4 linked regions of the Diceros bicornis minor genome follow. The protein of the gene in region 2 purifies or fractionates together with the protein of the main gene of each other region. This does not show direct contact. Links are inferred from orthologs where the notes say so. Each region holds a gene or a part of one and is shown on either strand. Other genes may lie near its edges. The genes, in order: PRDX1, KRAS, HSPD1 and HNRNPA0.

Evidence for each region.
Region 1: the proteins of KRAS (region 2) and PRDX1 purify together in Homo sapiens (affinity purification with mass spectrometry; 3 studies listed by BioGRID and IntAct, with this or other methods). This does not show direct contact. The link is inferred for Diceros bicornis minor from reciprocal best matches to the Homo sapiens genes KRAS and PRDX1.
Region 3: the proteins of KRAS (region 2) and HSPD1 purify together in Homo sapiens (affinity purification with mass spectrometry; 3 studies listed by BioGRID and IntAct, with this or other methods). This does not show direct contact. The link is inferred for Diceros bicornis minor from reciprocal best matches to the Homo sapiens genes KRAS and HSPD1.
Region 4: the proteins of KRAS (region 2) and HNRNPA0 purify together in Homo sapiens (affinity purification with mass spectrometry; 3 studies listed by BioGRID and IntAct, with this or other methods). This does not show direct contact. The link is inferred for Diceros bicornis minor from reciprocal best matches to the Homo sapiens genes KRAS and HNRNPA0.

The regions. Positions count from the first base shown.
Region 1 is NC_080752.1:8,459,706-8,467,627, forward strand, and holds the start of PRDX1 (peroxiredoxin-1), read right to left. Parts: upstream 3,021-7,922; 5' UTR 3,016-3,020; intron 2,849-3,015; exon of another isoform or gene 2,548-2,848; intron 1-2,547. Other genes in the region: AKR1A1 (aldo-keto reductase family 1 member A1), read left to right, coding at 7,840-7,922. UniProt on the Homo sapiens protein: Thiol-specific peroxidase that catalyzes the reduction of hydrogen peroxide and organic hydroperoxides to water and alcohols, respectively.
Region 2 is NC_080756.1:37,462,765-37,469,796, forward strand, and holds the start of KRAS (GTPase KRas), read left to right. Parts: upstream 1-4,032; 5' UTR 4,033-4,092; exon of another isoform or gene 4,093-4,105; intron 4,106-4,520; exon of another isoform or gene 4,521-4,636; intron 4,637-7,032. UniProt on the Homo sapiens protein: Ras proteins bind GDP/GTP and possess intrinsic GTPase activity. Plays an important role in the regulation of cell proliferation.
Region 3 is NC_080749.1:75,337,871-75,345,135, reverse strand, and holds the start of HSPD1 (60 kDa heat shock protein, mitochondrial), read left to right. Parts: upstream 1-4,244; 5' UTR 4,245-4,336; intron 4,337-5,268; 5' UTR 5,269-5,270; coding exon 5,271-5,444; intron 5,445-7,018; coding exon 7,019-7,265. Other genes in the region: MOB-like protein phocein, read right to left, coding at 2,903-3,067, 3,696-3,698. UniProt on the Homo sapiens protein: Chaperonin implicated in mitochondrial protein import and macromolecular assembly. Together with Hsp10, facilitates the correct folding of imported proteins.
Region 4 is NC_080740.1:56,395,349-56,402,130, reverse strand, and holds HNRNPA0 (heterogeneous nuclear ribonucleoprotein A0), read left to right. Parts: upstream 1-4,918; 5' UTR 4,919-5,007; coding exon 5,008-5,922; 3' UTR 5,923-6,280; downstream 6,281-6,782. UniProt on the Homo sapiens protein: mRNA-binding component of ribonucleosomes. Specifically binds AU-rich element (ARE)-containing mRNAs. Involved in post-transcriptional regulation of cytokines mRNAs.

The sequences.
Region 1 (7,922 bases), on a different chromosome or scaffold from region 2:
AACCTGGGAACTCCCGGGCCACAGCAGCAGAGCGTGCACTTAACCGCTACCCACCAGGCCGGCCCCAAGGAGTGGTGTGTTCTCAAGCCGATCTGTTTTCGAAAACAATACACCATCAATCTGATGACTATTGCTCTGAAAACTCTCGGAGGGCAACACTCTTGGAGGGCCAGCGTTGTGCCTTGCTTGTAACGATCCTTGTGGCCACAATTAAGAGCAAAATCCCCAGGGCTGGGGAAGGAGGGAGCTGGTTATAATGACTCAGCAGTTCGTCAGATGGCAAGGTCACCACTTGATTATTGCCCTTCAGACTTTTAAGAAGTCAGACTCACTAGAAAAAAAAAATTGAGGGCTGGCCCATGGCTTAGTGGTTAAGTGCGCGTGCTCCGCTACTGGTGGCCCGGGTTCGGATCCCGGGCGTGCACTGACGCACTGCTTCTCCGGCCATGCTGAGGCCGCGTCCCACATACAGCAACTAGAAGGATGTGCAACTATGACATACAACTATCTACTGGGGCTTTGGGGGGAAAAAAAAAAGGAGGAGGATTGGCAATAGATGTTAGCTCAGAGCCGGTGTTCCTCAGGAAAAAGAGGAGGATTAGCATGGATGTTAGCTCAGGGTTGATCTTCCTCACAAAAAAAAAAAGAAAGAAAGAAAAAAAAATTGAGGCAGTCCATCAGATCCTGCAGAAGATAGTGGGAGGGATGGGATACATAGGATGTGTCTATTGATGGTTAACCTTTGCTGGGCTGAGTTTGAAGGATCCTAAATTCTGATCACATAAGCCAAATTTGAATGTCATTATGAGGATATCTGGTGTGAAACGTTGGGCACTTGGTCCCTCAGGACACCATTTGTATTGGGGAGACAGTGGTGAGGAATTGGGGGGGGGAGGGTAAAAAAAGAGAAGAGCAGCGCCTGGGGCGACGGGGGAAGACCAAGGTGTGGGGAGAGAAAGGCAGGGCTACACCGGGACAAACCTGCTTCTTTCCAACTCCTGCCAAGGAAAACACAAATTCAAGACATCTCTCAGCCGAAACGGCAAGGGCTATTTCAAATCTCAAATCTCTAACTTAATACCTGTCTGACTTTGGACAAGCTAATTTACCTGCTGAGTCTGCCCAATCTGTAAAATGGAATGTGAATACCATTCCTAACTTCCTCACAGGAGGCTTCCAGTGTACTGGTAACGTCTATCTTTGTTTAGATGGTAGCTACATTGCAAAAAAAAACCTCACAGAGCGTTACGTTTAAGATTTGTGCATTTTTTTGTATGTATGCTATACTTCCATATAAAGGCTTACAAGAAATAAAATTGAAAAGAACATCCTCCTTCCAGGGTTGCTGTGAAGATTCAATAAAATCATGTTTATAGCCTGGTACAGTGCTTGGCACATAAAGCCGTGGCCAGGGTCCACCGACCAGATAGAGAGACGAGGAACTTTCTATGTCCTGGAGTCCGGAGACCCCAGGTCTTCCTTGTTATGGTCAGCCTTTGTGTTGTGGCTGCTCTCTAGGCCTCAGTTTGCCAGACCAAATAAGATTAGATAAAATCTGGGCAGCTGGCCAACCCGACTCTAATGGAGAGAATGGGGATGTGGGAGATCAAGATTTGGTCACCCTGAAATATATCTCTTTACCTTGATTGTTTTCTCTGAGGGACATTTGACCTCCCCCACTAACTGCCTAAAGAATTTGACATAGTAACTCCTTCCTGGAACAGATCTTCTATCTGATGGCTGTAATATAATGTAAAATAGATGTTACAATAGGAAAGTCACCAACAAGCCCATCTTATCAAAAATTCTGTCTCTCTGGCCACATTCTCTAGATGGCCCTGCAAGGAGTTGCCAGACAAACATTTACATTTATAAGGGAAATCTCCATTTGTAAAGGTATCTCTCTCTCTGTATTGGGAAGGGGGGGGATGGCCTCATTTCTAGAAACTTATCAATGTGGAACGTGAGGCCTTAAAACTGCATAATAACCTTACTCTTATTTACTTGCTTCAGTGGTAATCTCCTAGGAACTGACTCCCCCTACCCTCAACATCCTCCTTTGTTCTTAGCTAAAGATGGTATTTAACAAGAGAATTTCTGCTATTGTGTTGAGAAACTCAGTGTCCCCGGTTTCTCCCATGTATACATGTTATTAAACTTGGTATTATTTTCTCCTACTAACCTATCTTATTAATTATTTGGCCAGCCATAAGAACCTAAAGGGAAAGGGCAGAGGGGGATTCTCTCTCTTCCCCCACAGAGGGAAACCCCGGGCAGTCAGCGCTGCAGGACAAGACACCAGAAGAACGCCAAACGTGGCACTCAGGAAGCCTCCTCCCTGCGGCAGGGGAATGAGCTCCAACGGCCTAGAGCGGCGTGGCCACCACGCGCGGTGCACTGTGGGCCAGCAGAGGCTCAGCCTGGCCCCGCCCCCAGGGCCCCCTCCGTGGTCAGAGGCGCATGCTTCCTGTGCAGGCGCATTCTCCAAACTTGGGGGTTTCGTTTGTCCGTGCTGGTCCCAGTGGGACCACCAGCACCCAGGGGCGGGGATGGTACAGCCTCGCGAGTCTGGCGTGCTCACCACTTCCACCCCAACCCCCGAGCTCTTTTCCGGGGGTAAGAGGCGGGGTCCACCACGGCCAGTTCGGCTGAACGCCCGGCCTCCGTCCCTCCTCTGGGAGGAGCAGCCTCTTCACCGCCAGACTTAAGCCTGATCCCTGCCTCCACTTTCCGGTGACTTTCGTTGCAGCCCACCATTCCCGGAAGCTGAGGCCCATTGGATCCTTAGCAGGGCGCCGAGCTGAGCCGAGTTCACACTCTCCTGTTCACGCTCTGGGCTCGTGCCGAGGTGAGTTCCTCCTGCTGCTGCCCCATCTTTCTCTCCCTAGATAGAGCGGAGAGCGTAGCCTCTGGAGGCGGCCAGACTTGGTTTCGGGTTTGAACTTTTCTTCTTCGCTGTGTGATCTTGGATGAGTTCCCAGTTTCTCTGGACTTCAGTTTCCTCAGCAGTGAAACGAGTTCCTACATCAGAACTGTAGCGAGAATTAAGTGAGATAAAGTTTTTAAAGCTCCCGACACATTTAAGGTGCTCAGTAAGTTTTAGTTCCCATCTTTTTTGTTTGCTCAACGGCATAGTTTTTCCAGGAGCTCTGTCCTTCCTATGGAATTGGAGAGGTGGCTTCTCAGAAGTGGCGGGAGCGGGTAGAATTCTCTTACTTAGGCAGTTGCCTTGGGTTTGGCATGTTTATCTGTTGCCCCAGAGAATGTTTTTCTGTTGCCACTTTTTTAAGTGAGACGAATTTGAACCTTCATCGACTCTGAACCTTCACCGGTTGGGGCTGCTATTAATTAACTTCTCCCTTCAGCTTGTCCACACTCAGGGCTGTAGGACCTCCCTTAGAAGAAGGTTGGTGGCTCTGCTCCGGCATGTTACTTTTCCCAAGGTCTAAGTTTTGTCATCTGAAATACAGGAGCAATCCTAGCATAATCCTGTCTGGAGCCACTGGTATTTTTTGTGGCTAAAGTGCTTTGATATTTTGCAGAGATGATTCTTTCCAGGTTACCCAAGAAGTAAAGGAGGCTGGCGATGGAGGCAGTGACTTCCTCAAATACCCCTCCAGCTGGCCAAAGTCCAACTGTCAAGATCACCCCCATTTGCCTCTCTTTGTGGGTGTTTAGTGTATGTGTATGTATGTATGGAGCATGCACTCTGGGAGTGAGGAGTTCAGACAGATGATGGGCCCTGACCTCAAGGAGTACCTAGGTTTGTGGGAGAAACATAACACACAAATACAGTGATGTATATGGGAGGAGTCAGAAATTTAAAGTGCCAGCTGAAGGATTAGCAGCAGTCAGCCGAGCAAAAGGTGAGACTTGGGGAAGGAAAGTGTGCAGAGGCCTGGAGTCAAATGAGTGGTGGCTTGTTCTGCAAAGTCTGGAACATGGAGTCTGGAGTCTGGAAATGAGGAGGTGGAGAAATGAGGAAGGTGGGGAGCCAGATTATGAAGAGTATTACTAAAGAGTCTGGACTTTATCCTCAAGGTAGGAGAGAACTGCTGGAAGAGTTTGAGCCTGAGAGTCACATGGTTGCATTTGGTGAATGGATTGTGGGAAGAGGGGAGACACTGGAAGCAGAGCGATCCCTGGTTCAGGTCAGGGTGGTCAGAGCTAACATAGTGCCAGTGGAGGGAAGTATGGATGGACTGGAGAAAGATTTAGGAAGTATATATTTTTAAATTATTTTCACATACATTAAGAAGTACACAAAGTGTTATTTCAGTCTTAGGTTTTACATTACAGTTTAGAGCAAACACTGTCTTTTTTTATATTTACAAGTATTAACAGGATTTTTAACTCACCCAAACAGACCAAATCTGAGCCACCATTGCCCATGTTGGTTTCTTAGAATTACAGGAGAAGATGTACTCCCCTCCCCATCACCTGTCAAGACTAGAATCTGATAATACTCAGAAAGGCCAGAAATGAACTGAAATACTTTATTTAGATGGCTTTTTTTAAGACCCCATGGATTATGCTGTGAACATGTTGTCTGGTTTGCTTTAACACATTGTCCAGGGTCTTGAGTCTGTGGTGAGACAGAGTATACAGAAAGAAAGCGGGGATCAGGCACTGTGTAAAGTGCTTTAGATATAGTATCTCTTAAGAATGCAGGGGCTGAGATTCAAACCCAGGTCTATGCAACCCTGTAGTTTGAACTGTTTCCTCTGCACTCTGCTGCTGGATTTGACAAGTACAGTTTTGGACACATTGAGTCTCAGATGCCTATAGGACATACACTGGAGATGTCCAAAGGGAGCCGAATAGACCGAACTGGTGGGAAGAATCAGTGCCTAAGGTGGTAACTGAAGACATGAGCTCAACTAGGGAGTGAGAAGAGGATTGGGGACAGAACCCTGAGGGACACCGACATTGATGGGAGGCAGAGGAAAGGCCCATGCAGCCAGGGGACACTCATGTAAATACTGCTTCCACTTTTTCCTGTGTTTTCGAGTTCCCTGTGTCCAGGCAGGAACTATAGAGCCCTCCTCTGAGAAGAGAAGACTGAGCCCCAGCGAGAAGGAAGGCAGGCACTGAGTTGGAATCATAAAACCTGAGTCCTGATACTACCCCCTACCCCACCACATACACTCAGTTTCTCTGTTTTATATCTAGAATCTCTCCCAAGATAACATGCGGGTTTCTGAGTGCTGCCAGAGGTCCAGCTCTGCAGCTCCTGACAGACTCAGAGCCTGTTAATGCAGGGCTAGGCTGGAAAGCCGTTGAGTCAGGCAGAAGATGAGGAAGTCAAGAGCTGTCATAGGATGACTTCCTGTCCTCAAGACAAACATCTGTCTTGTGCTGCACCCTCTCCGTTCCCTCCTTTGGAACTCTTGTTCTTTGCAGATCTTTCTTAGGTGTTCCTACCTCTTGATCCCTGCCCTGCCCTCCAAGCCTCATTTTGGTTTTCAGTTTCACCAGCAAAAGAAAAGGAGAAGCAGACATCAGGTTTCTTCTTCCTTTTCCCCTCAGGCTGGTGTTTGTTCAAGCTCTCAGCCCAGGTGTAATTTCAGAGCCCTCCCATGTGTGCTGGGAAATCGGGGAGAGACCAATAGGTCACTTGTTTGGGGATCAAGTCCAGGAAACTAGTCACAGACCCTGGTGGCAGCTGGCAGGCTAGTTCCTCCTGTGAAGTCCAGACATGCTTGCCTGACCCCTAAGAAGTTTGATAACAAAGAGTATTGCCCTCAGCCATCTGTGGTTTGCTGCCCAGATTGAACATTTTTGTTTCTGTTTTAACAGAAAAGAGCATGTTTACCATAACCAGGTTATACTAGACTCTAAAATTCTTCCTGAGTCAAAAGTATGAGGAAAGACAATTTTAGTGTATTGGTTGTATTCATCACTTGTCTTATCACCTGCTCTACCGTAATAATCTTGATGTCCTTTCAGAACTTGGAAACAAAGGTTATATTTATAAAGGCACTGTTGACAATGAAGTTAATCCAGGGAGAGTGATATTTATAGTACTGATGAGTTCACGGGAAAAGGTTGTTTCTACATTATTGGCTCTTGGTGTGGTGAGTGTTCTTTCTGCTTTTTGGTTGGATGACTCCTGTTTCTTAAGACTTGACTTAACTCAGACTTGACTTGACTCAGATATCACCTCCAAGAAGCCATCCTAGCCAGATTCCCCTTTTCTTGCAGCACTTGTGCAGATTTTGGTCATCTCTCTCATACATTGTGCTGGACATCCTCTGTCCTCCGCCCACCAGAACATGAACTCCAGGGGAGCCGAGACTCTACTTGAATATGTGTGTCTCTTGGGTCAGGCACAAGGCCTGGAACATTCATCATTTGCTGACTGAATGAGTATTCTTGCGCCATTTGGAGACTTCTGATTTTCCTAGCTCTCCAAAGGTGGTTGTTCCAATCACTCACATGCTTTGCTCAGTTGGAAATTTTCTTCTATCTGTAATTTACTGCTTTCTGCTGCACTGATGTCCTGTGTCTAGTTCCCCTTCCCCTTGACTCTTGGGAGAGTCCAGTTGTTAAAAGCCAATGTCAATATTCCATGGTCCTTGCGCTACAGAAATCACTTGGTTTTCTGTAGCACATTTTACATGTGTTTACTGTGAGGCATTGCACATGTATTTTATAGGTCTGTGTTTACCTGCCTTTTTCTTGCCTTTTTCCATTAGCTCCTCCTTGGGTCCTTGGCTCTGCTACTTCTTATTTGTTTTTCTTTTTTGATGAGGAAATCAGCCCTGAGCTAACATCTGATGCCAGTCCTCCTCTTTTTTTGCTGAGGAATATTGGCCCTGGACTAGCATCCGTGCCCATCTGCCTCTATTTTATATGGAATGCTGCATGACAAGCCGTGCGTGTGCACACCTGGGATCCTAACCTGCGAACCCCGGGCTGCCGAAATGGAGTGCACACACTTAACTGCTGCGCCACCGGGCCGGCCCCATTTTTTTGTGTGTGAGGAAGATTAGCCCTGAGCTAACATCCGATGCCAATCCTCCTCTTTTTGCTGAGGAAGACTCGCCCTGGGCTAACATCCCTGCCCATTTTCTTCTACTTTATGTGGGATGCCGCCACAGCATGGCTTGACAAGTGGTGCCTCGGTGCGGGCCCGGGATCTGAACCCGCGAACCCCGGGCCGCCAAAGCGGACTGCACGCACTTAACTGCCACGCCACCAGGCTGGCCCCAAGCTCTGCCACTTCTTAGATGTTGATTGGGGTGAGTAACTTCACCTGTCTGAGCCTGTTTTTTATCTAAAAAATGCTGTACTTTCCTTATAAGAGCCCACTCGGGCCTGTCAGCATGGCCGATCTCTGTGAGAGGGACTCACAGAATCTTTGTAGTTCTGACAACCTCCTGGGAATGTTCATTTCATCCTCAGAGGAGTGACCTTTTCCTGAGCCTCTTCTGTCATCTGGTCTCGCTTTGTCTCATAATGACCTTTGCCTGTCTTACACTGGCTTGAGACATTATGTAATCAAGGCTGGGTCCTTCTGGAGAGACACTCTGCCTTTGTTTTTAGGTGTTGGAGCTCTTTAATACAGACCTTTAGCCTGGTAGAAGGAAGGGCAGCCAGGCTGGTGGTCCAGTTAGGGTTTGTCCAGGAGCTACTGGCTTTGGTACGTTCTGGGCACCGTGTCTCAGTTGCCTCTGCTCATAGGCACATGCACACAACAGCATGTTTGTTCTCCTGTCACCTCTGTGTCCCTTTCCCGCCCATGTTTTACAGGAGTCTTGACCGGTGGGTAGCTGAGGCCCAGCCAGCAGCACTGACCTCCGCACCATTCTCTCCCTGTCTGTGTTTCAGGGGGCAATGGCAGCTTCCTGTGTTCTCCTGCACACTGGGCAGAAGATGCCCCTGATTGGACTGGGCACCTGGAAGAGTGAGCCTGGGCA
Region 2 (7,032 bases):
TGGTCTTTAAGTCAGGCATAAAGAAGGCCAGTCACCAATCACGTGGCCCGTCAGGAAAATTGTGTCCCATAAAGACCCTTCTTATTGGATAGTGAATGACAGATGCATTCAGATCCTCTCCCTTGGGATGTTTTAAATGTAAGTCACAGAGAGTGTCATGGGAAGCAGAGATAGTGGTAGAAGCTGAGACTGTATGAGAAAGAATCAGAGAGCTACTGATTCAGGAGAATGGCAAAATTACTAGAATGTGGGCAGTACATGCTCGTTAACGAGAGGATGAGTGAGGCACCAGAGCCTGTTACTGGATCACAAGAACTGCTGTTGATTCCTGGAATGACTAGTAGTCCTGGCTGATGATACAGTTTGCTAAAGTTTCCTTATTTCCTTAAAATAAACCCTCAGCATTTGCAGTGCTCTGAACATGTCCTGGCATTTTACATCTTGTAAGATCCCTACTAACACAAGGGTATTCCTGTTATTTTGGCTTTGATTACATCTTCAGAAGAGGGTATCTCCTGAAGGGTCAATATGATCTTCACAAAGCAGGATTAAAAGGATGTGAGCACGTGCACATGTGTATGTGGCTGCCTTCCCAGAAAAGTTAACAGTAGAGGGTAGAAACTTCAGTTACATTGTAGAGCAAGCCTGGAATTACCAAGTTTAAGCTTTTTGTTATTCCCTCTATCTTTTCCCATCACGATCACAGAATGAGCCTGTGTGCTTGTCCTTGGGGAGAGCAAAGAAAGGGAGAGCCAGGGAAACTATTCAATGCAGCCTCTAGGTTTGAAGAAGAGGAACCCAAAAGATAGAAGAAAGCACAGCTGTCAAGAAAAGAGAGGAATCTGAGTATCACATCTAGATCAGATCACTTCTCTGTATACAGACTGCTAACCACCAGTCTAGGATCACCTGATTTGTTAAAAATGAAGATTTCTGGTTTGCTTTAGACCAACTGAATGGAATATAAGGGTGAGGGGCCTAGGAACTTGCATTTTTGTAAGTATGCCAGGTGATTCATGAAGCGCTTTCCTTTGAGATCACTGCTCTAAGCCATGTGTCAAGGAAACACAGAGAGTGTTGGGGAGGAGGCTGCTGGCTTCTGAGAAAGCGCTCAGGACTGAATGGCAGAAAAGCTCCACATAGCAAATATATACATTGCTGTCGGAGTGACAAGGAAGCAGAGAGAACTGTGTGAGGGGAAGCTGGAGGGTAAGGTGTACGGAACAGATAGGGGGATGAAGACTTGCTTTGGGAATTGTGAGCCCAGATGATAACAGAGACCATGTGGATGGATTAGGTTTCTCCTAACGCCAGAATTTTTATAATCACCATGAAAGTGCTATATATTATAATAGCACTTCTCTATATTATAGTCCTTGTAAGATTTATGGAGCCCCAACTACAGGGAGAATATTGTATCAGCAGCTGTCAGAGAAAACAAGAGCTTATCATGTACTTGCAGAAGTTGGACAAAATAAATCTGTGATATATATTTGAGTGACTACAAAACAACATACAAATAAGTGCAAATTCATTCATTTAAGAAAAACCCACTGTGTCCATTATGTGTGGACACTTTTCTAGAGTCCGTAGGGTACAGTTTATCAGAAGGTGACCTGGGGGTGTTTAAAGGCAGATTTTATAAGAAGGTGAAAACAGAGATCACAGAGAATTTAAGGCACTCCGTCTAAGTAAGGATGTGGAGTCACAGAGTTCAGAAGGAGGGTACACAACTTCATTTATTCAACATTCCCCAAATATTTAGGATTTGGGGGAAAGAGAGAGAGATGCAATATCAAAGATGATCTTTTGGGAAGAACTCATTAGAAGAAGACACCTTAACAAAGATTTATAAGTGTTGGAGGAAGCGTTATGGATATATAGTGGACATGTGTTCCAGATAGAGGGGCAGCAAGTGCAAATGCCCCGAGGAAGGAAGAAGCCTGCCTGGCATTTTCAAGGAACAGCCAGGAACCGGTGTGTATGTACAGAAGTGAGGAAGGGAGACGCGTAGGATGAGTTCAGAGAGGTAAGGGGACTTTGCTTTGATGTTAAGCAGGATGGGAGCATGAGTGAGTTTGGAGCAGAGGAGTGAACATGGTCTGACCTAAAAGATACTTCATTTTAGCGGTGTGAACTTGAGCCCAATTTTCTTTTCTTTTTTTTTTTTTTGTGATGAAGATCAGCCCTGAGCTAACTTCCATGCTAATCCTCCTCTTTTTGCTCAGGAAGACTGGCTCTGAGCTAACATCTCTTGCCAATCCTCCTCCTTTGTTTTTTCCCCCATATCCCAGTAGATAGTTGTATGTCATAGTTGCACATCCTTCTTCTAGTTGCTGTATGTGGGACCCGGCCACAACAGCACAGCCAGAGAAGTGGTGTGGCGGTGCACGCCGGGGATCCGTACCAGGGCCGCCAGTAGCGGAGCGTGCGCACTTAACCGCTAAGCCATAGGGCTGCTGGAGCTCAATTTTCAACCTCTCTGATTTTGTTTCCTCATCTATAAAATAAGGTTGCTGTGATGATTAAATAAGATGTATGCGCGAAACATTTAGCAACTACTTGACAAAGAGTAGGCATATTCTTTTCCCATCCCTGTCTTCTACTTCCTGTCCTGTCTGTTCCACCTAGTACCAGGAGCAAGGCGAGGGGGACCCAATAAGCCTTCCAGACTACAGCCCACATAGGGGGTGCGAAAAAAAGGCTGACAGTTGGTGTAAGGCTTAAGTTAACAGACACAGTCGTTGGGATTTAAAATAATTGTTTAACCCATGTTTTATGACATGGACTAGAGGGACACAATTGGAAGTAGAGATTCAGATGGGTGTTTCCATTAGGTATAGGCGTTGGCCTGCCAGGCCTCAATCTTTAAAACTCAATTTACCTTTCTAGGTAGTTTATCAGCGCAGACTCTGGGTATGCCAGCAGTTGTAACTGTTTCATTGTTTAATGTGTTAACTCCCCAAATGTGAACTGATTAATCTCAGTCTTCTAATTAATGTGTCAATGATTCCCCTCAGGTCTAAACTATCAAAGGCACTTCTACTTAAAAATAGTTTGTCTTCTGCTTGTGCCGTCAGGGGCAATAGGTACATTTGAGGTCGCTCTTTAGAGTGACCTGTGATGGCTTCAAAATAGCCATAAAAACAACAACAAATAAGACGAGTGATGAAAGGGTTAGTCACGTCGGTTTGGGCCTGGGGCTAGGTTCCCAACCCCAGTGTTGAGGCTGATAATCACCAAGCCTTGATGAGAAAGCCCCGGGGTGGGGAACTGTCTGCCGGTCTCTCCCAGTCACCGAAGTCGCCTCCCACATTTCATGACTGCGTGTTTATTTACTGGCAGCAAATGACAGTAAATGAATGTGCACAAGTGTAGGCCGACCCCGAGGGGTGGCGGGATTTTCGCAGCTTCCGCGTGCAGACCCGAGAGGGGTGCGGCGGGGTCGCCTCTGGCGTCGCTCAGGTGTCCCTGCGGTGTGCGCGCGACCGATCGCGCGCCGGCCCGGGTCCGAATCTGCGGCTGCGGGTTCGGCTCTGCGGCGGGAGCCTGGGGGCGGGCCGCCGCGTGGGGTCGGCAGCCCCTCCTCCCGCGCCGCCGAGGCACCGCCCAGGCCCCCTGCTCCGCCGGCCGGGCTCCCCGTCGTCCGCCGCCCCAGCCACCCCCTCCCTCCGCCGGCCCGGCCCCCGCTCCTCCTCCGCCGGCCCGGCCCGCCCCCCTCCCCTGGCCCGGCCCGGCCCCTCCTCCTCCCCAGCGGCGCTCGCCGGCTCTCTCTCTTCCCTCTTCCCACACCGCCCTCAGCCGCTCCCTCCCCGATCGCCCGTCTGGAGAGGAATCGAGCACCGAGCGCATCAATAGCTCTGCCCTCTGCGGCCGCCCGGCCCCGAACCCATCGGTGTGCTCGGAGCTCGATTTCCCTAGGCGGCGGCCGCGGCGGCGGAGGCAGAGCGGTGGCGGCGGCGGCGGCGGTGGCGGCGGCGGCGGTGGCGGCTGCTCGGCCAGTACTCCCGGCCCCCGCCATTTCAGACTGGGAGCGAGCGCGGCGCAGGCACTGAAGGCGGCGGCGGGGGCCAGAGGCTCGGCGGCTCCCAGGTGCGGGAGAGAGGTACGGAGCGGACCACCCCTCCTGGGCCCCTGCCCCGGTCCCGACCCTCCCCGCCGGCGCCGGGCGGGGCCGGCGGCGAGTGAATGAATTAGGGTTCCCTGGAGGGGCGGGGAGGGGGCGCGGGCGCGGGCGCGGAGCCCGGGCGGACGGGCAGACAGGCTCGGGGGGTCTGCAGGGGGAGGCGCGGGGCCGCGGCGACGCGGGGAATGAGGAATGGGCGTTGCGGGGCTGAGGAGGGTGAGGCTAGAGGCGGCCGCCGCTTGTGCTGCTTCCTGGACGGGGAACCCCTTCCTTCCTCCTCCCCGAGAGCCGCGGCTGGAGGCGGCCGGGGAGCAACTCGCGGGCCGGGCGGGCTGCCCCTCGGGGCGGTCGGGTGCGGTGGAGGTTACTCCCGCTTGCGCTCCAGTCTCCCCTCCCCCTCGTCGTCCTCCCCTCTCCCTCCCTCCGCTCCCGCACCTCTTCCTCCCTTCCCAGCGCTCGGCTGCCTCGGTCACTGCCTTCTCGGCTGCATCTAGCATCTCTAGGACGAAGGTATAAACTTCTCCCTCGAGCGCAGGCCGGACGGATAGTGGTCCTCACTGTGTAGCGGGGTATAGGGGTAAGAGGGGAGGTCAGGTTTTGGCAGAGCATGGGAAAGTGCTTAGAGACCACTGTTTGAGGTTATTGTGTTTGGAAAAAATGCATCTGCAGCCGAGTTCCTGACTGCTCCCCTCCCCCATGTATGGGCTGTGACATTGCTGTGGCCACAAAGGAGGAGGTGGAGGTAGAGATGGTGGTGGAAGAACAGGTGGCCAACACCCTACAACGTAAAGCCTGTGACTTAGTGAAAAGGAAAAAGTTAATCGTAGAAGGTCTCTTTTGCTTTGTCAAGTTAAAACACACGTAGAAAACCCTCAGAGCAGAAGCAGGGCTTTTTCCTTGCTAGGTGAGTGTAGACGGCAATAACTAAAATCGTATTTGAAGTTTAATTTGCCTGTTCTTGTCCTTTCCCCCATCTCTTCTATATTCCCCTCATCCTTACGCATCTGACCCCCATCCCAAGAGTTATTACAGTACTCCTAAACAGCACTCACACAATTTTTTTAAACTGATTTAGGAGAGGAGTTAATTGTAGCAATTTGCCGGCCAACTGCCTGAAATACTCTGAGGCGTGTGCATACCATAGCTGAAGCCCTGCGCTAGCCTTTTTATATCTTGATATCCATCAAAATAAGAGGCTAAGAACAGAAAGGTATTTTCTGATTTTTACACAACGTACCTGTTACATTTGTAATGGAAAAAAAGTCATTTGCAAAGAAATTACAAAGGGGAAAAGTCTGTGTTGTAATCATCATCTCAGAAGCAGCTAAATGAGTGATGTCACTCTTAGGTGACTAAGGTCTAAAATGCTGACTCGAACATGTAATAGACTATAGACATCAAATACGGTTGATATCAATACTGTTTACTTTGAGACTGCAGCCAGGCACAGGCATACTTGGTTTTAAGAGATGGTAGATGAGGTGATAATTCAGTTTCATGACAAATAAAAGTGAATTTTTTTTTTGCTTAACAAAATGTTAGGTTCTGGTCCCAGTTCCACCCCTTGCTTTTGTATCTTTGGGTGAGGGGACTCTTTCTGGCCTATGATCTTCAGTAAGACTCCTTGGGAAGCCGGTTCTCTCTAGCGGATTTAAATATTACTTGGTGTTTAAAATCCAATTCAAGGATTTTTTTCTGAAACAACCACTGCATAAACAAGTAGACCAAGAAGGTGTCTGTCTTTCAGAATTCACACATGTATGCACAACTAAGCTCTAATCCAGCATCTGTCCACAGTATCACCTAGGCTAGCAAACTTTTTGGTCATCAGGACCCCTTTACACTCTTAAAATTTATTGAAGATCCCAATATGGGGTATGCCAGTATTTACCATAATAGAAATTAAAACTGAGAATTTAAGAAATTTATTAATTCATTTAAAAATAGAAATAATAGGCCTATTACTTAGTAACATAAATAGCATTTTTTTAATGCAAAAACAACTATTTTTCAAAACAATAAAACAGTGAGAAGAGTGCCATTGTTTCACACTTTTGCAAATCTCTTTAATTATATGGCTTAATAGAAAACATCTGGATTCTCATATCAGCTTCTGCATTCAATCTATTGTGATCACACGTCTGGAAAACTCTATACTTGTGACAGCATAAGAGTGGAAAGGGTAAAACATCTTAATAGTATTATGAAATTCTTGGACCTCCAAAACGTCTTAGGAGCCCCATTGGGTTCTTGGACCACATTTTGAGAACTACTGTTCTATGCTATCCAAATTATTTTGCGGGGTGAGGTGGGCAGGGAGCTAGAGGATACATTTTGGTGTGATTCTCCTCGTCTATCCCATTTGCTATGGCCTATATTTAGAATAAAAAGTGAGAGCAAATGGGATAAGATAGATGTTAGTAGTGGCTCCTAGGGTGGCCCCAGATGAGCAGCGAGTAAGGCTGGGTGGTGCAGAATAGGCCAGGGAGCTGTAATGTAACGGTCTGTGATACAACAGTTGTGTAGCCTGTCTGCTCTTTGTGAGAGGGCTCAGGAATAGGGTGAGGCGGTGGTTAGTATGTTATCATTTGGAAAACGATATTATCTTTTTTTTTTTTTTGGTGCCTATTTGGATAATTCTTGGTCTTCAGTAAATAGGATGCTGCATGCATATAGTGTTTATATACAATATCTGCACATTCATTAATTTGGAACTACTTATTCTATAATAAATGAGTGTGCATTTATTGCCATTCTTTCTGCATTTCACTTCTTATTTGTAATACTGTCATGTAGTTGTTGAGGGAAAGAAGATAAAATTAAATTTATTCATTTTATTTCAAAAAGTTTGAAACAACTGATTAAAAAATATTTTCTGTCTTGTGCTGTTAATCTTACAAGTTATC
Region 3 (7,265 bases), on a different chromosome or scaffold from region 2:
GTACCATGAAAATTTGTATTTTCATGAAAAATAGAATTTTACCTATTTTACTTTGCTCCATTATTTTTGTTGAACAAAAGGTAAATGACAACATACTGTTCTGAAACGTGGTTGCACACCCAATGCCCTTATTTTTGACCCCAACCTCTCACCTCAAAACTTTTCCCTATTAATTCCGAATATAATCTCACGAAATCTAAAATTATTTCTTTAGCAATTCTGCCAGATAAGCATCACACAACTACTTCTGTGGTACAAAAAAAAATTCTCCCATCCTTCTGATTTTAGTAGGTTATGAATCTCAACTCATTTGCTTGGGTCTTCACAACAGAATCAGGGAATAATGAGAAAGCCATGGCTTTTGGACTAGATTCCTAACTCTGCAATTTACCAGCCACATGGCCTTGAACCAGTGGCTTCATCTCTTCTGAGTCAGTTTCCTCATTGGTGAAACAGATGGAAATCTGTGCTTACAAGGTTATGACGTGCAAATCTAGCTGTGCTGGGACACAGGAGGAAACTGATGACCCACTTGGTTGTGTAAACAGAGCTTTTCATCATAATTCTTATATCTAAATATGACAAAAATCAAGCTTTAGTATACCAAATGGGACTCACATACACATAAATGTTAAGTGCACATACCTACCACTTTACCCATGGGGACATGATCAAAAGATGAGACCATTATTCCATGCCATTTACAACTTCATTTAGATTTCAATTCCACAACTTTTAAAAGACATGATCACAGACTAATTATAAGAAACTAAAACTAGAAAAAAAATGTGACTGCCAAGACAGAACTAGCTGGTAGCTGATGTAGTTGAGTTTAGGGGTTAGTAATTAACTCTGGTGTAGGATTGTCTGGGTTCAAATCTTAACTCTCCTGAGCTGCTATAGCTAAATCAAGCTATTTACCCAGTTCTGTTACTCAGTGTCCTATTAAATCCAGTGAACTGTATACTAGATACCTAATTGCCAGACACCTTACGTACCAACCCCCCCCAATACCACAAAGGTTCCTTTATCATCACATTTGAAATAATGTGTATCAAGTGCTTAGTATTCTGACAAACTAGCAGAGGCCATAAAGGATTAAGTTTTCAACAGCAGTATCCATGGTGGATGGCCCATATCCAAATCCTGCTTTGCTACTTCCTACTGTGAGACCTTGGTTATTACTTACCCTCTTTGCGCCACACCTTCATCAGCAAGATGAGAATGACAGTATCTAGCTCATAGGGCTGATGAAAGATTAAACCAATTGATACATGCAAAGTACCTACAGCAGTAGTCAGTACAGGAAAATGCTTCTGAAGGGTTAGCTATAATTACTAGCACACACTGCCTACCCTGGCATACAGAAGGCACTCAGCCAATGTTATCTAGTATACCTTGCCTTGGATTTTTTGCCAAGTAAATTATGTAGTAATATTAAGTTTTTGTAAATATAAAGCATAAGAAACAAGACATATAAGACACTAGATTCCATAAATGAAGAACTTCAATATGTTTGTTATAAGTTAGAATGTTGCTACTTGACTTTACTTTCTTAAAATATGTAAGTGTAAATTGATGGCTTTGTACCAGCATCAAATATCTATGTAATAAAGCTAAATTCAAAGTGAAAATTGGAAACCTTGTTACCCAGAATTCTCTGCAGAAATTACTTGAAAAAAGAAAAAAAGCATAAAATAGAGAACTCTAAAACCATCTTAAATCACTAAAAGATTAACCATTCATTTATATATTTTTATTTGGAAATGTTTATATCAGTACAGTGAAACTAAATTTTAGAGACACTGGATGTCATTAGTTTGGATATCATTAGTTTATTATAAAAGAGAGACATGGAAATTATTTACAAGATGAAAGATTTCAGTACTTCAATGGAATGGGCAGCTTCACGTGATGCCATTTCAATAGTGATTCATTTCAGTCTACATACTTTCCAAGAATGTCACCATCTCTAAATAAGAAATAATCCTGCAAATAAAGAAACCATTAGTTAAGAAAACTAATACCAAATATGTAACTTCTAAAAAAAAAAAATCCATTACGTTTACACACCTTGTCGTCTAGAACTACTTTGGTGCCTCCATACTCTGGGAGAAGAACTTTATCTCCCACTTTCACACTAACTGGTTGAATCTCTCCACCCTTAAAAAAATAAGAATGTTTATTAGTAGAGACATCTAATTTACCAAATATTTACACCTAACTTTCATTAATCAAATATGCTCACTCAAATCAAATGTTAAAAAAGAACTTGGTGGCCAAGTGATATAATCTATACAATTGTAGTTCTTCACTCAAAACTTATCATTGTAGAGTCACACTTTGAAATGAGGCACACACAGTGGCTTAAACTAAAACCTGATTTCACTGTAAAAGTTCAAGGAGTTATACTGGGAAAACTAACTTAAACTAGCTTTTAAATTGTTAAATATTAACATAACCCATCGACTAAGTGAAATAAACAAGTTTTAAAAACCGTATACATAACAGTCTGTATAACTTCCTTCAATACACAAACACTTAACAGAAGTTTTCTGAATTCGGAACATACATTTTTTTTTCCATTCAATTTCCTTTGCTCCCAAGTATAGACTTGGGGAGGAGACTGAAGCAGAGTGTCCACTCTTCCAAGCCTTCCTATTCCTAACTCCAGGATTCCTTGCTAGAACTTTCTTAGAGGCATGGACAATGCAATTAACATATTTGACCCTAAGAGCATTTACTATGTATTCTGGTTGACACTTTTATAAGTCTGAAATGTAACCAATTAATTAGAAAATGACCTTGAAGATAACACAAGCTACGTAAAAGCCTATTTTTAATAATAACCAATAATTACTTTTTCCCTCCACATAATAGTTCCATTTTAGCCCCCATTTACCTTTCCTTTAGAGCCCGATCCAACAGCCACTACTGTTGCTTGCAATACTTTTCCTTGAGATTTTTCTGGAAGCATAATGCCTCCTTTGGTTACAGTTTCGGCTGCACTCCTTTCAACCAATACTCGGTCAAAGAGGGGAAGAAACTTTCTAAATGCCTGTCCTGCCTGTAGAGAAAGAAATGTCGGATAACACAAAAACAACATGTAATTATATTCTAAACAGGCAACACCACTGTAAGCCTTCTGTATCACAGGCCACGTGTGGCTTTCAAAGATCATGCCCAAACTCAGATTATTTACCCAGGAAACCCACTTGAAGGTTCTGCTCTGTAGCCCGAGTTTAATTTCCCATTCCCCATGTGTGTTAGGGGTCCTTGCTGCTCCTCTGGTCAGCAGCCAGACCACCTTTAAGGGCAACCTTAGTTTATTCCAAGGTCAAATACTATCCTTCCTCAGGTTTTTCTGGGAATTTTCAGCAAACACTGCAGTCAATCCCTACGCCCGGGGCCATGCTTTCTCCGACATATTACACACCCCCCAGCGCCCTGCAACAGCCGCAGGCCGGCCGCCGCGCGGTTCGGGGTTCCCGGCCCACAGGCCTGCAGCACGCGCGCGCGCAAAGAGCCCTCGGCGCGGGGAAGGGGCGGAGGGGCCTCGCCTCTCCAGGGTCCCGGCGGGCGCCGCTCACTGGGTGACCCCCACCCCTCCGGCTAGGCCCAAGAGAACCGTCCGGACTCCCGGTGCGCCTCAGGCCGACCCGGGACCGCCACCCCCCCGCTCACGGCGGCCTCACCATGACTCCGGCCGCCGCAACCCACACTCCGCTCTAGCGCCGCCGTCGCAAGCAGAGACCCGTAGTCCGACCCTCGAGACACGTGAACTTGGGACAAGGCACCCGGCGCGCAGGCGCGCTCGCCCCCGGCCCCCGCCCCTCCCCGCGCGAGGGGGCGGCCGCAGCAGCGCGCGCCGCGATTCGCCGCGAGGGCCCTGCGCAGGCCCCTGACGCCGGGAGGCGGAAGGAAAGAGGAGCCCTTTCTAGGCTTTTCTAGGCCCCCGCCGAGGTGAAAGTACTAGCCCTCCGCCCTCCTCCCGGATGTGACGCGGTTTAACCCTTAACCCGCAGGGAGCGCGGCGCCCCCAGAAAGTTCTGGAACCCAGCGCAGCCCGGGAACCAGCATACGCCGGCCGGAGAGGGCCGAGTCCGCGGGCCTGGCCCGGCGCTGGTAGGGAGGGGCGGGCTGGCCCGCGGCGCATGCAGATTGCCGGGCCTGCCGCCGGCGAGGGCGGGAGCCGCCTGCGCGCGCGGCGCGGCGGGGCGGGGGAGTGGCGGAGGGAGGGGACACGGGCTCATTGCCGTGTGCGCCCTGCACTCTGTCCCTCACTCGCCGCCGACGGCCTGCCTCGCCTTCCGCACGCCGCGCCGCCGCCCCGCAGGTACGCGGCCGCTCCGCGCCGCCGCGCCCAGGGCCTCGGACCCCCGAGCCGGCCTCCCCCCGCTGCAGTCCTGCCTGAAGTGGGCGGCGGGGGAGAGCCAGGGCCTCCTCCGGCGCCGCAGGCCCGGGCCCCTTGGCCAGGCCTGGCGGGTCCATGCGCGAGCCCATCACGTGCCGCGTGGAGCCCTCGCCCGGGCAGGGCGCAGGAGGGAGGGCTTGCCCGGGAGTGCGTGTGGAATCGGGGGAGTGCTCTCGTGGGCCCTCCCATGCAACCCACTCCTGGACTGCAGGACCCCGGGGAGGGTGGTCTCACCCGCGTGGGAACCGCGTTTGGCCCCGCGGACCGCTGGGGTACGGCACTTCGACCCTGACCTTGCTCGGGGCGTCCTGATGGAAAGACACTTGGGGTCGCGCCGAGTGGGCCAGGCCGCAGCCCCCTGCATCGCGGCCTTGCGGGCTGCTCTGATACAGTAGCCCCGAGAGGATACATGAAGGCACATTTCACTAAGCGGAATTTTACGCCGTCAGGCATATTTGTACTCTCCTGGTCCCTCGGGTTTATAACCTGCCCGTCTGCTGCAGGCTTGGTTTTTTTAGGGGCGCGTGTGGAGTGGCTTTGCTCTGAAGGCCGTTTTAGCAGTGAAAGATTAACTCCTTTTCAGCGGCAGGGGTAGGTGGCCATGGGGACGAAGAGGGGCCTGCTTTGTGCTAGTGCTCTAGGTCAGGCGTGGAGGCGGCCTCTTCAGGCTCGTCCTGGTACCTGGTGTTCTGCAGCTGTGGCGCTTTCCGTGGCCCGGGTGTAGTGGCTGGCAGAGGTCAGACCAGCTCACGTCTAACACTTTTTATTCTGTTGCACAGGTGTCATTTTTGTGCTGTAACGCACCACTGGGAGTGCCACTATTGTACTGATGGTCTGCTTTTTTTCCCACCCAGAAATGCTTCGATTACCTGCAGTCCTTCGCCAGATTAGGCCAGTGTCCAAATCACTGGCTCCTCATCTCACTCGGGCTTATGCCAAAGATGTAAAATTTGGTGCAGATGCCCGAGCCTTAATGCTTCAGGGTGTAGACCTTTTAGCCGATGCTGTAGCCGTTACTATGGGGCCAAAGGTAACTGTTGTTATTTTGTTATACTTTATAATATTGTTAATTAAGGAATAATATTTTACTGATGAGAAGTCACACTGAACTGTTGAACAGTATTTTAGTATCCGTTTTTGAGAAAAACCAGTTTACATATGTGAGTTCTAAATTATTGGTTAATTTTTTTGTCTTTTTTTGCTTAGATATAATGGTCTTAAACTGCTCCTGCCAAATTTTCGAAACTTTCTTTTTTACAATGTGTGATGTAATCGAGTGGTAACTAACTCATAGCTCAAGGTGGATTCTTAAACTCAGTGTAGAATTAATCTTGCTTGCCTGCTTGAGTTAAATTTTGGATTCTTTCCCAGTAGTTAATACCAAGCATAGAAGGAAGACTATAAGTACGTCCCATAATACCTCAAGTATGTGCTTTTAGGTGCTAGTTTTACCTAGTGTTTTTCTCTTGTCCGTTCTGTTCTAAAGCACATTTAAAATTCTAAGTCTTATTTAACGTTAAGAGATTGGTGAGCGAGGGGTGATAATTTGAGGAGGCTTTTGAAGGTGGTGCACAGTTGAAGACCGTTCAAATATCAAAGTAATCCAAACTGTATAGATTACAGCATTTGCATGCCTCACAGGTAGCAGCTGTGGTTCAAATCCAAAAGCTGCCAATACTGTTTGCACCATGTTTGAGATTTAATGTTGAACGATCCTGGAAGAGTGCACTATACTTACCTTGCTGTTAATAGTTTATCTTTTTTTTTTTTCCTTTATTTTTTTCCCCCCAAAACCCCAGTAGATAGTTGTATGTCATAGCTGCACATTCTTCTAGTTGCTGTATGTGGGACACGGCCTCAGCATGGCCGGAGAAGCGGTGCATCGGTGCGCGCCCAGGATCCCAACCCGGGCCGCCAGCAGTGGAGCACACGCACTTAACCGCTAAGCCACGGGGCCGGCCCGCTGTTAGTAATTTAGTAACTAAACTTTAGACTTTAAAAGTAAGTTTTCACAATACTTTCAAAGATGGCAGGCACAGGACAAAATTTAAGTATAAATGATGTGAAGAATATTCTGGAATTTAATTATAATCTACCAGATTGGTATTGGTTTATCTCATGTTCTTGTTGTTTTCTAAGAGGACACCTTTTAGTCTCTAGGATTTTTATCCCCCATAATACCTTATTCAAAGTTATGCAATTGGCAACAGAGAGGTAATTTTGCTTGTAAGAACATTGATGAATTTGCCCTTGAGATTCATGCTGCTGATTTGATAAGATGACAACTTGCATTGAGGCTTTTGAGTGATTGCCCCATTACAGTCACGTGCCATTTAACAACTGGGATATGTTATGAGAAATTGTTGGGCGATTTTGTCATTCTGCGAACATCATAGAGTTCTTAACACAAACTTAGGTAGTATAGCCTACTACACACCCAGGCTGTGTGAAACTAATCTTATGGGACCAGTGTCATATATGCAGTCCGTTGTTGACCGAAACGTCGTTATATGGCATGTGGCTATAAAAACTGCTCGTTCTGTTTTAAGTTAAGTAGTACTTAGAGTGCGAGTCTGTTCCATTTTTTTTCCTCTGCAATTATAGGGAAGAACAGTGATTATTGAACAGAGTTGGGGAAGTCCCAAAGTAACCAAAGATGGTGTGACCGTTGCAAAGTCCATTGACTTAAAAGATAAATATAAAAATATTGGCGCTAAACTTGTTCAAGATGTGGCCAATAACACAAATGAAGAGGCTGGGGATGGCACCACTACTGCTACTGTTCTGGCACGCTCTATTGCCAAGGAAGGCTTCGAGAAGATTAGCAAAGGTGCTAATCCAGTGGAAATCA
Region 4 (6,782 bases), on a different chromosome or scaffold from region 2:
TGATGAAAACTTTTAAAATCTACTCTCTTGGCAACTTTCAAATATACAATACAGTATTGTTAACTATTATCATCATGCTGTACATTATATCCCCAGGACTTATTCATCTTATAACTAGAAGTTTGTACCTTTTGTCTGGTCACTTCTCCTAGACTTGGGAAGCTATCCTTTTTTCACATCAAGCCCTCCTCCTTTGATGTCCCCTCTCAAGTGAAGGAAACAAATATAAATCCCTTCTCAAAGCCTGGATTTTGCACCTGAGGCAAGGGAATACACAGGCAGTAGAACAAGATACAAGTAATATCTTCACAGATTAAATAGGTCTGTGTATTCTGCTGCCTCAGGAGCAACTTGTAAAACTAAGCCTCCATGTGCCTATTTTTTTTTTTTTTTTTACAAAAAGCATTTTATTGAGGGCATTTCTCTTAGATAGCCAAAGAGGGGAAGGGGAGAGAGGCAAAGGCCTCTGAGTGAAAAAGGGTGAGAGGAGCCCCAATCTACATTTTTGCCATTCTGTTCAAGTATGGGGTTCAAATTAAGTTCAGAATTAATTTGATTTGGTAAAATAAGCAATGTGACCTTTCACACATCATCATGATGGCATAAGATTCATACGCAAACACGTCATTATTGTTCCTTTACAATATCAATTTAATTGCTTCATAATATTCTTAGAGAGAATATTTAGTTCCTTTTTTATGTAATTGGTTAATTGGGAGCAATTAGGTAATTTCCAATTTTTTTCTAGTATAAACAGTATTGAAGTGAACATCCTTGTAGCTAAATCCTTACACAGATCCTTAATTATTTCCTTAGGATAAATTTCCAGAAGCATCATTTCTGGTTCAAAAGGATGGGTCAAATTTTAACTTTTTTTTTTTTTTTTTTTTTTTTTTTGTGAGGAGATCAGCCCTGAGCTAACATCCGCCAATCCTCCTCTTTTTTTTTGCTGAGGAAGATGGCCCTGGGCTAACATCTGTGCCCATCTTCCTCCACTTTATATGGGACGCCGCCACAGCATGGCTTACCAAGCAGTGCGTCGGTGCGCGCCCGGATCCGAACCAGCGAACCCCGGGCCGCCGCAGCGGAGCCCGCGCACTTAACCGTTTGCGCCACCGGGCCGGCCCCTCAAATTTTAACTTTTGATGTGAGTTTTTAAGAGTCCACTAGGAAGATTGTACTTCATCACAGCTGGCAGAGAGTGCCTTTTTGGAAGATACCTTGAGTACATAAAAATGGAATATGTATTAGTTTGCTAGGGCTGCCATAACAAAATACCACAGAATGGGTGGGTTAAACAACAGAAATTTATTTTCTCGAAGTTCTGGAGGCTGGAAGTCCAAGCTCCAGGTGCTGGCAGGGTTGGATTCTCCTGAGACCCTCTTTCCTTGGCTTGCAGACGGCCACCCACTTGCTGCCTCCTCACGTGGTCATCCTTCTGCGCATATGTGCCCTTGGCGTCTCTTCCACTTTTTATAAGGACACTAGTCATATTGGATTAAGGCCCCACCCTAATGGCCTCATTTTAAGTTAATCACCTCTTTAAAAACCTTATTTTTGGTTACAGTTACATTCAGAAGTACTGGGGGCTAGGGCTTCAACATATGAATTTGGGTGGGGGGCGGGTGAGGGGAGACACAATTCAGTCCATAACATAATCCTAACTGCAAAAAGACACTTTTGGGTGTAATAGAAAATTGACCAAAAAAAAACCCAGAGTTGCTGCTGATAGTTTTCCTTTTCTTCTTCAGTTCGTTTTTTCCCCCTTTCTCCTGTTCTCTTTCTGTCTTTTTCTTTTTCTAAGTATAATTTAGGTACGGTAAAATAAACCCTTTTTAATATGCAGTTCTATGAGTTGTGTAACCACCACATTCAATTAGGTTTTTGTAATCAAGCTTGTAGGAGGGATGGAAACCAAAAGTTGCCTAAATTTCAGTTACATTTTTACATTTCTTTGTTTTGGAAGGCTGAGACACCTGTAAGTAAGGTAAAGCCAAGAAACAAACTCAGGCAACGAAAAGTAGAATAGGAAAAAAAAAAGTTTTTCTCCCTGAATAGTCTGAGGGGTAGGAAATTGCATCATTTAAGTGTTTATATAACACTCTTATTCACTATCCCTACCTTTACTAATCTAATCTCCGAAAAGAATCTAACATTCCAATTATCTTGCATTTATCCTGGCTTCCTAAATGTCTCTCAAACATGCTTGTGTTGTCTCCCATCATCCCTACCCCTCTTCTATATGCATGGCTTATACTGGACATATGCCTCTATGAAGCTTTCTTGTCAATAGAAATTAATGGATCCCCAATTAGGTGGTGTGATTATTTTAAAACAACGTAGGAGAAAACTATTTCTTTAAAATTTAGTTTAGATGGGAAAATAAGTTATGGTCTTATTCTCTTCAGAAATTCATCTTTTACTGCTTTAACATTTTTTGGATGACTCTAAAGTAGATTTCTTAAGGTCTAATCTCTTATCCGAGCTATAGTCTTGGGCATCCCAGAAAACAGGGCCCCGTGAATATCCCAGTATCATCTTTAACAACCATGTTCATCATCTCCCCCTACTCCCTCCAAAATAGTTTCTTTTCTTAGATTTTCTAATTCTACCCTGCTGCAATTTTAGACTCCCAGATTTCAAACATTGGAGTGCTTTTATTTTCCTCATTCTTTGTCATCAATCAGTTAGCAAAAGCTGACATATCTGACTTGTTTGTAACAGGGTAAGAGCATCCTATTGACCTTCTCTTTTAATTTTTCAATGGCACTTATCACTATCTGACATGCTATATACCATTCTCATTTATTGTCTGCTTCTCCCCACTAGAACATAAGCTCCATGAGGGCAGAGATTTTTGTCTATTGTTTACTGCCATATTCCCAGCACCTGGTATAGTATTTGTTGGATAAATGGAGCACTTACTATGGCCAGCACAGTGCTCTGCGTTTACATGCAGAATCTCATTTAATTTTTACCACACTTGGAAGGTGTTTTATTGTTCTGACTTTCAGATAATAAAACTAAGTTTTAAAAAAGGTTAAGTGACTTGCTCAAAGTCACACAACTCGATGGTCACAGGGTTACTAAGTGGTAGAGCCAGACTCTAGTTTGTCCCCAAACCCTGTAGCCTATCTGTATACCTTCGGAATAATATTCAAACTCAATCTAAAATTCAAGATATTCCATATCAAAGACCCTTAACCTATCTTACCTCTTAATATTTTCTATCAAAAACCTCCTGCTCCCGTCAAACTGGTCCGCTCACTGCCCCTTGAAACTTCTGTAGCTTGTTTCCTCCTGATTTTGCTCAAACGCCCTATAGAAATCTTATTTAGCCTTTGACTCTGAGGTTCAGTGCAACTTCCACCTCTTTCACAAGTCATTCCTGACTACTTCAGGATACGAGGGATTCCTCTTCTTCAATATTTACCACATGGTTTTGGGGGTCACGTAATGTCTCATATTATGTGCCCCTCCATGTATCTTGCTTGGCGCACGAAGGTGCAATAAACGGAAGCCGTTATAATTCTCATGCAGTCCCGCCTGAGTGAGGGTCTGTAAGGCAGTTATCAGGGTGGATGATATTTGTATATAATGTTCATGTGTTTAACTTCCTCGGCTCCCAGTCTGATATAAAAGGCCTTTAAAAGGCAAACGTTTTAGTCGGGAAGGAAGCAACGCATAGATAACGTAAATTAAACATATAAAGTGGTGTGTTTACTGAGGTAAAATGAAAATGTCTGCTGTCGGAGTGCGCGAAGGGCGCTGAGAGGGGCGTCGCGGGAGGGCTTCGCGGACGGCCAAAGAGCGGCGGGCTCTCGCGCCACACCTCGGTGGGAAAGGCTGAGTCGGTTTTGGCACACGGTTGTCCTTCATAGTGCCTGGGGCTCGCTTTTGCGCAGGGCCACGTGCCAATGTTTTAGTTTAACTGCGCGTGGGGCCCACCGTAAACGGTTACTAACCGCCTTCCCCGACCACGGCTCTACCCTCCATCTTTGTGCGGACGGGAGGGGCGAGGACGCCAGGTGTAGCGGCCGGGTCCAAACGCGGCGGGTAAATCCAGGCCCCCATCCCCAACAGCCAAGTTTTCAAAAAGCCCGCGCGTGACGCCCCAGGCCGCATCCGTTGGGAACGGCCCCCAGCGCGCCTCCGCTCTTCCCTCCCCCGCCCCCAGCCCCGCACCAAGCCGCGCGCGGGAGGGGGCGTGGGGGTGGCATGCAAGCTCTGCACACAGGGGACGCCGGGGCCGGCGCGCACCGGGGAGCGCGCCCGTCCAGCCGCTGCCGAAAACGGAAGTGGGTGTGAGCGGATCGCGGTGATTGGCTGAACTGATATGTCTCTCAAGGGGCTGGCGCGAACGCCACTGCGGAGTTGGGCCATGGGGTATGGCATGGGGAGGGGGACAATCACTGGGAACAGCCGCGAGGCTGGCAGGAAATGAACCGCGGAGGTGTGCGGAGGGCAAGGAGAGTCCCCCGTCAGGGCACCCTGGGGAGCCCGGGAGTGAAAGCGGGGCGCTACAACCGGCGGCCGGAGCCGCGGAGGCCGAGGGCTTGAATAGACTGCGGAGGGCGGGGAGTCCGTGACCGAGAGCGGCGCTGCGGCGCGGTAGGCGGGACTAAGGAGAGCGAGGCGGGGATTGGCTGACAGCCCTGGGCTGCCGTACGTCGGCGGTGACGCACGCCTCGGGGAGGGTGCGCGCGCGTTCAGCGGCCTCTTTGTGTGGTGTCCAGATAGGGGAGCGGAGGTGGCGGTGGCGGTAGTGGCGGCCTTGGTTGTGTTCCAGTCTTCTCGGCTCGCCCTCTAGCCGGCACCTCTCCCCTTCCCTCCCCCTTCCTTCTTTCCTCCTTCCCTCCCCTTCCCTTCTTCCCTTCCCCGTCGGTGAGCGGCGGTGGCGGCTCCAGCAACGGCTGGGCCCAAGTTGTGAAGAGGCCTCAGGCAACGATAGCGGCGACGGCGAAACCTCGGAGCTCGCAGGGCGGGGGCAAGGCCCGGGCCTTGGAGATGGAGAATTCCCAGTTGTGTAAGCTGTTCATCGGCGGCCTCAACGTGCAGACGAGTGAGTCGGGCCTGCGCGGCCACTTTGAGGCCTTCGGGACTCTGACGGACTGCGTGGTGGTGGTGAACCCCCAGACCAAGCGCTCCCGTTGCTTCGGCTTCGTGACCTACTCCAATGTGGAGGAGGCCGACGCCGCCATGGCCGCCTCGCCCCACGCCGTGGACGGCAACACGGTGGAGCTGAAGCGGGCGGTGTCCCGGGAGGATTCGGCGCGGCCCGGTGCCCACGCCAAGGTTAAGAAGCTCTTTGTCGGGGGCCTTAAGGGAGACGTGGCCGAGGGCGACCTGATCGAGCACTTCTCGCAGTTCGGCACCGTGGAGAAAGCCGAGATCATTGCCGACAAGCAGTCCGGCAAGAAGCGCGGCTTCGGCTTCGTGTATTTTCAGAATCACGACGCGGCAGACAAGGCCGCGGTGGTCAAGTTCCACCCGATCCAGGGTCATCGCGTGGAGGTGAAGAAGGCCGTGCCCAAGGAGGATATCCACTCCGGAGGGGGCGGAGGCGGCTCCCGGTCCTCCCGGGGCGGCCGAGGCGGCCGGGGGCGCGGCGGTGGTCGAGACCAGAACGGCCTGTCGAAGGGCGGCGGCGGCTACAACAGCTACGGTGGTTACGGCGGCGGCGGCGGCGGCGGCTACAATGCCTACGGAGGCGGCGGCGGCGGGTCGTCCTACGGTGGAAGCGATTACGGTAACGGCTTCGGCGGCTTCGGCAGCTACAGCCAGCACCAGTCCTCCTACGGGCCCATGAAGAGTGGCGGCGGCGGCGGCGGCGGCGGCAGCAGCTGGGGCGGTCGCAGTAACAGTGGACCTTACAGAGGCGGCTATGGCGGTGGGGGTGGCTATGGAGGCAGCTCCTTCTAAAGAAAATTTAAAAATGTCTGGGAGCGGCTATAGGGGTAGCTCTTTTCGACAGCCCGACTAGGGTCAATTCCTAAGTCCCTTTCCCTCCCACCGCCTTCCCCATTTGCCCTTGGGGGAGCCTCTTTTGAGGCTGCTTACTCTTGGGGGTGTTGCCCTGTTTGCCTGCCACCTCTTGTCTCTCCCTCTGAAGATGGACTCGGCCCCACACACACATTTTTGTGTTACAGTCATTGATGGACTCTATTTTTTTATTATTACTTGGACCTTGGTCGTTTTTATACTAGCAAAACGTCTTGTTTTAATTTGTGTTTTTTTGGGGGGAGGGAGTGAACTTGCTGATTCTGTAGCAAAACCTGGGCGGGGGTTGGGGTGGGGGGGTAGTTTACTTTGTTGTAAGGACTTGATACCTGGCTACAGCGTTTTCTATGAAATCTACTTGGATCCCATGCCTGAAATTTGGAAGTATATGTACAAAAATCATTTTTACGTTTTATTTTTAATAAATCATTGTGTTTGACCGTACATGTCTAACATTTTTTTTCTAGGATCCATTCCGTACCGTTTAAGGGATATTAGTTGAAAATTTTTCGTGTTAATTCTCAATTCTTGATGTGTACTTAAGAGAAACTTTTAAAAGGTTTAAAAGGTCCTGTGGTTTTTTTTTTTTTGTTTGTTTCCCTGCTAGTGACTTGTTGAATTTTATCCCTTACAGGCAAAACTTTTGAAGTGGTGGATGTGGCTTTTTAAAATCTTTAAAGTTTCTGTGCATCCATCTCTTGTACTAAGCGATTTGCTTATCATCTTGACATAGTTGGTCACTACTTTCTATGAGAATTTACTTCAAAGTATGTACTGTGTAG